Sus scrofa: one gene and its partner. The protein of the gene in region 1 binds, or shares a complex with, the protein of each later gene. Links are inferred from orthologs where the notes say so. Each region holds a gene or a part of one and is shown on either strand. Other genes may lie near its edges. The genes, in order: RAB11FIP2 and RAB25.

Evidence for each region.
Region 2: the proteins of RAB11FIP2 (region 1) and RAB25 are in contact, whole or in part, in a crystal structure (PDB 3TSO), measured with the Homo sapiens proteins. The link is inferred for Sus scrofa from reciprocal best matches to the Homo sapiens genes RAB11FIP2 and RAB25. Residues at the interface, in NP_055719.1 of Homo sapiens: Arg475, Glu478, Ile481, Asp482, Asn483, Leu485, Val486, Met489, Pro493, Ser494, Leu496, Arg497, Val498, Pro499; in NP_065120.2 of Homo sapiens: Arg34, Ile45, Gly46, Val47, Glu48, Phe49, Ser50, Thr51, Lys62, Trp66, Arg73, Arg75, Ala76, Ile77, Ala80, Tyr81.

The regions. Positions count from the first base shown.
Region 1 is NC_010456.5:128,069,989-128,072,986, reverse strand, and holds part of RAB11FIP2 (rab11 family-interacting protein 2), read left to right. Parts: intron 1-617; coding exon 618-845; 3' UTR 846-2,998. UniProt on the Homo sapiens protein: A Rab11 effector binding preferentially phosphatidylinositol 3,4,5-trisphosphate (PtdInsP3) and phosphatidic acid (PA) and acting in the regulation of the transport of vesicles from the endosomal recycling compartment (ERC) to the plasma membrane.
Region 2 is NC_010446.5:93,967,760-93,972,323, forward strand, and holds the start of RAB25 (ras-related protein Rab-25), read right to left. Parts: upstream 2,984-4,564; 5' UTR 2,705-2,983; coding exon 2,662-2,704; intron 1-2,661. Other genes in the region: ragulator complex protein LAMTOR2, read right to left, coding at 4,493-4,549. UniProt on the Homo sapiens protein: The small GTPases Rab are key regulators of intracellular membrane trafficking, from the formation of transport vesicles to their fusion with membranes.

The DNA of each region.
Region 1 (2,998 bases):
GAGAAGAAGGTCTGTTTGCCTATAAGTTAAAACAGTAGTTCCTCCCGTGGGGTTCTTATAAAGGATGCCCATAAGGATTTAATTCTTAATGCCTTCGACATTTCGTAACATTGCAGAAGCAGATCCGATATTGCTTTTTCCTGGTAGCCATCTTCAATAAAACGGTAAAGGCATGATGACATTAAACTACAGTTCAGTGGAAGAAATTCCATGAGGACTAAACCAGTGTCCAAATGCATAGTTTCAGTAGCTTCTTATATTTCTTATAGTTAATTCTTGCAGATCTTTTGGTTTTGTCTCTTCGAATTATGTTTATTACAGAACATTTTATCTCTTTATTTAACCTTAAATTATACGGTCATTTTCTTATATTGGGACCTTGTCCACACGGTAGAAATAGTTTTAGAAGAATTTAGGGTTGTGATCAAGGCTTTGGTGCATCTGCCCTGGTCGTTTCCTCAAAACAGGGGCCAGCCATTCTATGACCGGTCACATTGGTTCTAGCCAAGGATAGAGAGAAATTTGACGAGGGTTTGAAGAAAGTTGGAGCACAAAGCCATTCATAATTTGTCCCTGATATTGTCTCTCTTAAGACGACCATCTTTATCCTGTTCTAGGACAGCAACCCTTTTGATGCCACGGCGGGCTATCGTAGTCTGACCTACGAGGAGGTGCTGCAGGAGCTGGTGAAACACAAAGAGCTCCTCAGGAGGAAGGACACCCACATCCGGGAGCTGGAGGACTACATCGACAACCTCCTCGTAAGGGTCATGGAAGAAACGCCCAGCATTCTCAGAGTGCCATACGAGCCGTCCAGGAAGGCTGGCAAATTCGCCAATAGCTGATAAGCTAATGGTACTGCATTTGTAACTGGGGGGAAAAAGAAAGGAAGAATGAGAAAGAAAAATAGAAGAAAAGCTTGTTGCTGAGAGAGACCACACTATCAGGTTTCATTACGTACTCTCCTTCATTGTGAAAAAATTGTTTTACTTGTAAATATTAGCAGAGACTATCAAGAGTGACCTTTGAAGTGAGCTAAATAATTTCAACCTTTAGCGTGAAAATGGGCCAGATGCTCGATGAATAAGCAGTTCCTTAGGTGCTGGTGCCGGCCCACTAACCTCCCATAGGCCTAGATTTTCTTGAGAAGAACATGACTTATTCCTCAGGAATAGATTTCCCATAAAGCAGAATTGATACTGTGGTTGGTTTCTCAGAAGTCAATTTGCAGACATTTCGCTGCAAGAATACTGCTCATTATAAACACTACTTTAAAAAAGTTCCTATTTTATATACATATAGATGTACATGAATATCTGTTCATGTATCTTTGTATATAAAATATATGCAATACCTCTTATATACGTGTGTTTTTAGAACATTTTAAAACAACTGGTTGCCTCTAAAATTAGGATACCAGTTAGGATTTCTTAATGTGAAAAGGTATGTGTGCTGCTCTGTCGATGCAAAACAAATCATCATTGCTCCGATGATGGTCTATTAGCTTCTTCAAATTACTCTTGACTACGTGCACCTCGGTTTCAAAATGAGCTGCTACTATTTCTCCAGCATCAGTTTTTTTCTCTTTTTCCAAAAGTAATGATCCAGAGTCCTATTTAAAAGAATGACATATTTTAGGAAACTTCAACAGCATGAATTTCTTGAATTTTTTGTCTTAACATTTGAGTTTCGTTTGAGCTCTAAGCCGAAGGTAAGCAAACATGATTTGTTCAGATTCTGAATGTCTTTAAAATACTAGCAAAGAAAAGATTAGGAAGTTATAGCTGAAGATAATTTGGGGGAAAAAAGTATGTGATCATCTGATGCCTGATAACCCAAAGCAGTGAGCAAATAATAGGAACGAAGAATTAGGCTTGGTTGCAAGTTATCTAATAGAACAGATGGTTGCATTTGGGTTCTGAACCAAAATAAGAGTTGCTAAAGGAGAGGTGAGTGTTTGGAACACATCTTTACTAGTACAGCTTTTTACATCCACCCTTTAGGAATTGTTTTATCACAAGATTCTGAGCGGCTTTTCTTTAAAGTCCGCTCTCCTGAAATGTTGACTGCTTTCATAAATTATCTTTATGTATTTGAACAAAATTAGTCTTTAGAGTGAGAGATAATGAGTAAAAATATCACTAATCCTCTACTGCTTATTTTTAACCCAAAAAGTCTGTGGTACTGTAATATACTGAATCTGTGTCTTCAGAATTGAAAATGAAAAATTCAGCAGTATATGGAGACATACATTCCCCAGTCTTTTACCAAACTGTATTTTTTGTCTAGCATTTATCTCTACCAAGACTTCATTGAAAGTTAAATACGAAGGACATGAAATAGTTTTGTTCGGTTTAATGTTTTAAATCAGATAATATTTGGCCGAGCTTGTATTTGTAAGCTAAAATTACTATTATATGTATTTTCTGGGTTTCTTTACTTTTCCTATGAGAGCATACATTTTGAAATTCTGACACATTTTCCCAAATGCAGAAAATTAGATAGTTCTTAAAATGAGGAAACAGAGAAGGAAAAAATAGCTTTTATCAACTTTTTCTTCCACTTATGAATTTCTGTAATAAACCTCACAATCTGATGTAGAATTTTATTTTCCCATTTGAAGTCTTGGTAATCACTACTTTTTTAACCTGGTGCCATTTCTAGTTATCGTTTATCAAATGTTACAGAAGTCTAAGCATTTGTTTTTTCTTTTAGTGTAATTGAAGTTCTTGCACTTTTCAAAATACTGAAGTCCATGTGTTTTCAGTATTATGACAGGTTATCTGCAGATATTTTAGTATGCTTTGGCCAAATTTACTCTTTATAGAATGAACCAAGATGTCAGTGTCATATTGGGGGTATGTTTTATGTAAATAGAGCTCATGAAAAAGTATGGTTCAAGTACTACTCTTCTTTTTGTAAGGAAATTCGTCTTTAAGGAGAGATTCTTTGCTTGTATAAAAACTCTTAAGGATTAGACCCATCCCTGTGTGGACTC
Region 2 (4,564 bases), on another chromosome or scaffold:
CTCACGGCAACGCCGGATCCTTAAGCCACTGAGCAAGGCCAGGGATCGAACCCGCAACCTCGTGATTCCTAGTCAGTTTGTTAACCACTGAGCCATGACACAATTCCCTCTCTCCAACTTTAAGAATTCCTTCTTTATGGAGTTCTCCTGTGGTATAATGGGTTAAGGATCTGGCCTTGTCACTGCTGTGGCACGGGTTCAAATCCTGGCCTGGGAACGTCCACATGCTGCGTGTGCAGCTGAAAAAAAAAAAAAAAAAAGAGTAGAGTTCCCATTGTGGTTCAGCAGTAACGAACCCAACTAGTATCCATGAGGATGCTGGTTCGATCCCTGGCCTCACTCAGTGGGTTAAGGATCTGGCGTTGCTGAAAGTTCTGATGTGGTCAAAGATGTAGCTCGGATCTGGTGTTGCTATGGCTTTGGCTGTGGTATAGTCTGGCAGCTGCAGCTCTGATTCTATCCCTAGCTTGGGAACTTCCATATGCTGCAGGTGTGGCCCTAAAAAGACCAAAAAAAAAAAAAAAAAAAAAAAAAAGATTCCTTATTTGTTAGGGAAGGAAAGAGCTGGGAGTAATAGGGGTATATGTGGGTAAGAGGAGGTATGGACATGTGTGTGTGTGTGTGTGTGTGTGTGCGCGCGTGTGTGTGTGTGTTCCTACCACTCTCTCTCCCCCCTACTGGGGATCTCATCACCTCTCAGCCCTCCCAGTGGATGGGCTCTGAACTCAATCCTCAGGCCCCAGAAGGACTTGGGGAAAGAGCTTTGGAGTCAGATAGACTTGGGTTTGAGTATTGACTTTGTAACATTTTGAAAGCTACTTGCTCTTTGTCTCACCTCCTCTGTAAAATGGAGATACTAATGGTTAACATTTATTGAGTGCCTACAATGTGCCAGGCACTGTTCTAAAGGCTTTACACATACGAATCCATTTAATCCTCACAACAAAGTCACAAGGCAAGTACCATTATTAATATCACCCCATTTTTAAATGACTTGCGCAAGACAATCCAGCTAGTGTGGTAAACACGAGGTGTGGTGCCCAGATGAGGCTTCCACGAAGGACTTGCCCCCAGCTTGCCCCCAGCTGCAGGGAGTGCAGTCAGCACACAGCCTTCAGCCATTGGCTCCTTCGACATCTGTTTCTTTCCTTCTTTCTTTCTATTTTATTTTATTTTATTTATTTTATTTTATTTTTTGGTCTTTTTAAGGCTGAACCCATGGCACGTGGAGGTTCCCAGGCTAGGGGTCGAATTGGAGCGATGGCCACGGGCCTACGCCACAGCCACAGCAATGCCTCATCCAAGCTGTGTCTCTGACTTACACCACAGCTCATGGCAACACCAGATCCTTAACCCACTAAGCGAGGCCAGGGATCAAACCTACGTCCTCACAGATGCTAGTCAGATTCATTCCCACTGAGCCACAACAGGGAAGTCCAACATCTGTAGGGAGCAGCCTCACCTGAGGTCATGCCTTCCCCGGGCAGCCTGCACCCAATGCCCCAGCTCCCTGCCCTTGACCGAGGCTTTGTGATTCTGCCTTGCAGTGCAACTTCTCCCTCTGCCCAGTCCTGTGTCCTCCCTCTTCTTTTCACTGTTGTTGATCCACAGTAAATATCTTACACTCCAAACTTCTCAGCGCCTGCTTCTAGTGACCCCCCCTCTGCAATAATTAGTAAGTGGCTGGGCTGAGATCTGAACTTGGTCCCGCTCCTGACTTCAAAGTGTTTTCAAAATTTGGGGTTGTTGTGGTGATTAATGAACTAGTAGCTGGCACATGGCAAGAACTCAACAAACAGCGGTTACTAGTAGTATTACTGCCCCAGTCTACTGCTAACCCTTACCCTATCTCCCTTCCTGAGAAAGATGCCGGGAGTACAGGTTCACCGATCCCTGGTTGACGGAGAGTCCCAGCTCAGGTGAGGGTGGGGCTGGGGCTGGGGCTGAGGCTGGGAGAGGCAGTGGGGTGGGGTGGGGTGGCTGGACAGGGAATCGCAGCACTGCCAGTCCACCCTGCCCTGAAGGAGGTGTGGAGGTGGGGGGCGGGGAACACTAGACTGGCCAAACACAGGGAGGAGATAAAGGAGCAGGAAGGATACCTGCAGACGTCCAGGGACAGAAAGTTGAACCCAGTTCCTGGTATTTGGGCCCAAGGGGTGTGCCAAGGGACAGACAGACAAGGCCCTGGCACTAGGAGTCCTCCAGATTCCATTCCCTGTGCCCTCTTCCTTACATCTGTGTCTTCATCCAGCCCTGTGATGGGATCATTCTCTCCGATCTCTCCTTTCCTGTACACCTGCCCAGAAAGATGCATTTCTTCCCCTTCTTCTCTGGAGGGAATCCTCTCTGAAGTCTGACCTCCGTCTCTCGTGCTGCAGTAGCTGACTACTCCTAGGGATTTGGGCTTCTATTAGGATGTGGGCAGAGGGGCCTCAGTTGTCATTGGTAAGGAGTGATCAACTGTGTCATTACTGACAACAGTAGAGCATTCCTGCAGCTCCGGGCTTTTGTCCCAGTAAAAAGACCCTCCCCACTCCCTGTGGCTTTCTTTTTGACCTGAAGGAATGATGAGCCCTGGGAGGGGATCTTGCTAAGGGATTAAAAAACAGGAGGGGGGCCCTCTGGCTCTGCTGGTCTCTTTCTTTATGGACCCCAACTCACCCTTGAAGACAAAGTTATAATCTTCTTCACTTCTGTTCCCCATCTTGGCTCTGCATGGAGGGCACAAACGTCTTCAAGGGCAGAGGTGAGGGTCTATGCGTTGGCTCAGTGCCCTCAACCTTCAGCTCTCAAGAGACCTGGATCCGGCCTTCCTCTCATGGAGGGGAAAAATACGGTCAGCAGCCAGAAGGATCGATGGCTGACTTAAGGCCAGAGCCTAGGGAGGCTCAGCTCTGGCAGGTGGCGGTGCTGTAAGGAAGCTGAGAGGACGGAAGCTGAGAACAGGAAGAGTGAGCTGCTGGAGACCTGGGGCCCAGGTGGGTGGAGAGATAATGACGTCAGACAGGTTAGACAGGTTGGGTGTCTGCTCTCAGCCTGGCTCCTGCAAGCAGGTGAGCAGGGTTGAGGGAGTGACAATGGGGGCAGCTGGGAGAGACAGGACCTCCAGAGAGCCAGCTAAGGACAGAATGCACACTGCTAGGCTCCTGGGACCTGTGGCCCTAAGAGGGCCAGCTACTTGGGAGTGGAGAATAACCCCTCAGGGAGCAGAAAATGACTGGTCCTCCTGCTTTGCCTCAGAGGCTGTGGTGAGGAGTAACTGGGGACCGCAGACAAAGGGCAGTTGTGGGGAGGGGCTGGGGCCACCCTGCTGCAGCAGAGCTCTGGGAGTTGCATCTCTGATACAGCAACTCCTGCCCCTCCCTGACAGCCCAGGGCCTGGGATGGGCAGTTTCTCAGCCTAGGTGGAGCTGGAACTTCCAAACTACCTGCTTCCTGGGACAGGTCCCTTCCTACAGGGCTGAGAGCTCCCTGTTGAGCCTTGCTCTAAGGATGTTGGGTAGGGGGAGACCTGGGGCAGAAACTGCCAGATGGGATGAGGGGTCTGAGTGTAGGGACAAGACTTCTGGGCGCCTTCTACTCCCTCCCCACAACCTGCAGCTTCAGAGCAAAGACATCATGTCTGCAAACGTCTTCCTGATCTGGAGATTGTGTAGGCATGTGAATGGCTAGAGAAGAGGAAAGGGGCAGTTCCTGTAGGCAGCCAGAGGGGTTCCCCTCTCAACTCCAAGAGTAGAAAAGGTGACCCCGAGAGTTCCCTTTATGGCTCAGCAGTAACAAACCCGACTAGTATCCATGAGGATGCGTGTTTGATCCTTGGCCCCGCTCCATGGGTTAAGGATCAAGCCATTGCCATGAGCTGTGGTATAAGTTGCAGACACGGCTCGGAGCCCGCGTTGCTGTGGCTGTGATGTAGGCCGGCAGCTACAGCTCTGATTCGACCCCTAGACTGGGAACCTCCATATGCTGCGGGTGTGGCCCTAAAGAGCCAAAAAAAAAAAAAGGCGGACCCACCCTCTCAAGGTCCAGACTGAAGGACACTGAACTCCCAGCCCCCTTCTTCTCTTTGTCCAACATGACCCCCACCAGCCCCTTGTTCCTCTGAGCTCACTCTCAAGGTTTCGCCATGCAGGTGGGTAAGATTCTTCTCTGCATGGCAGGGGCCAGGTGAGGCCACACCACTGGAGAGGCCCAGGGAGCCGAGGCACCCCTGCCAAAACCATTTGGTGGTGGGAGGTCACGGTGAAGGAGCAAGTGGAGAGCCATCCTTGCAGAACGTGAGCAGCCGGGGAAGCAACCCCGCTACGCTCCAGCTCCTCTGATTCCCGCCATCCAAGAGAGCAGCCAAGACATAAGACAGGAGTTGAAGTTTATTCTTGGGAAAAACAAAGTCCCACCCTCCCCCCAAAGTCCAGGGGGAGGTTTCACCAGGGGGCCCTGCCCCTCCAAATGGTCATCTCTCTTTTCTGACCCCTGCTTCCACCCATGTCCATTACGATGCTGCTACTTGGGTGAGAGGCTCCTCCAGGTACTGCACCAAGGCCTGGGCCTGCGAGAAAGGGAG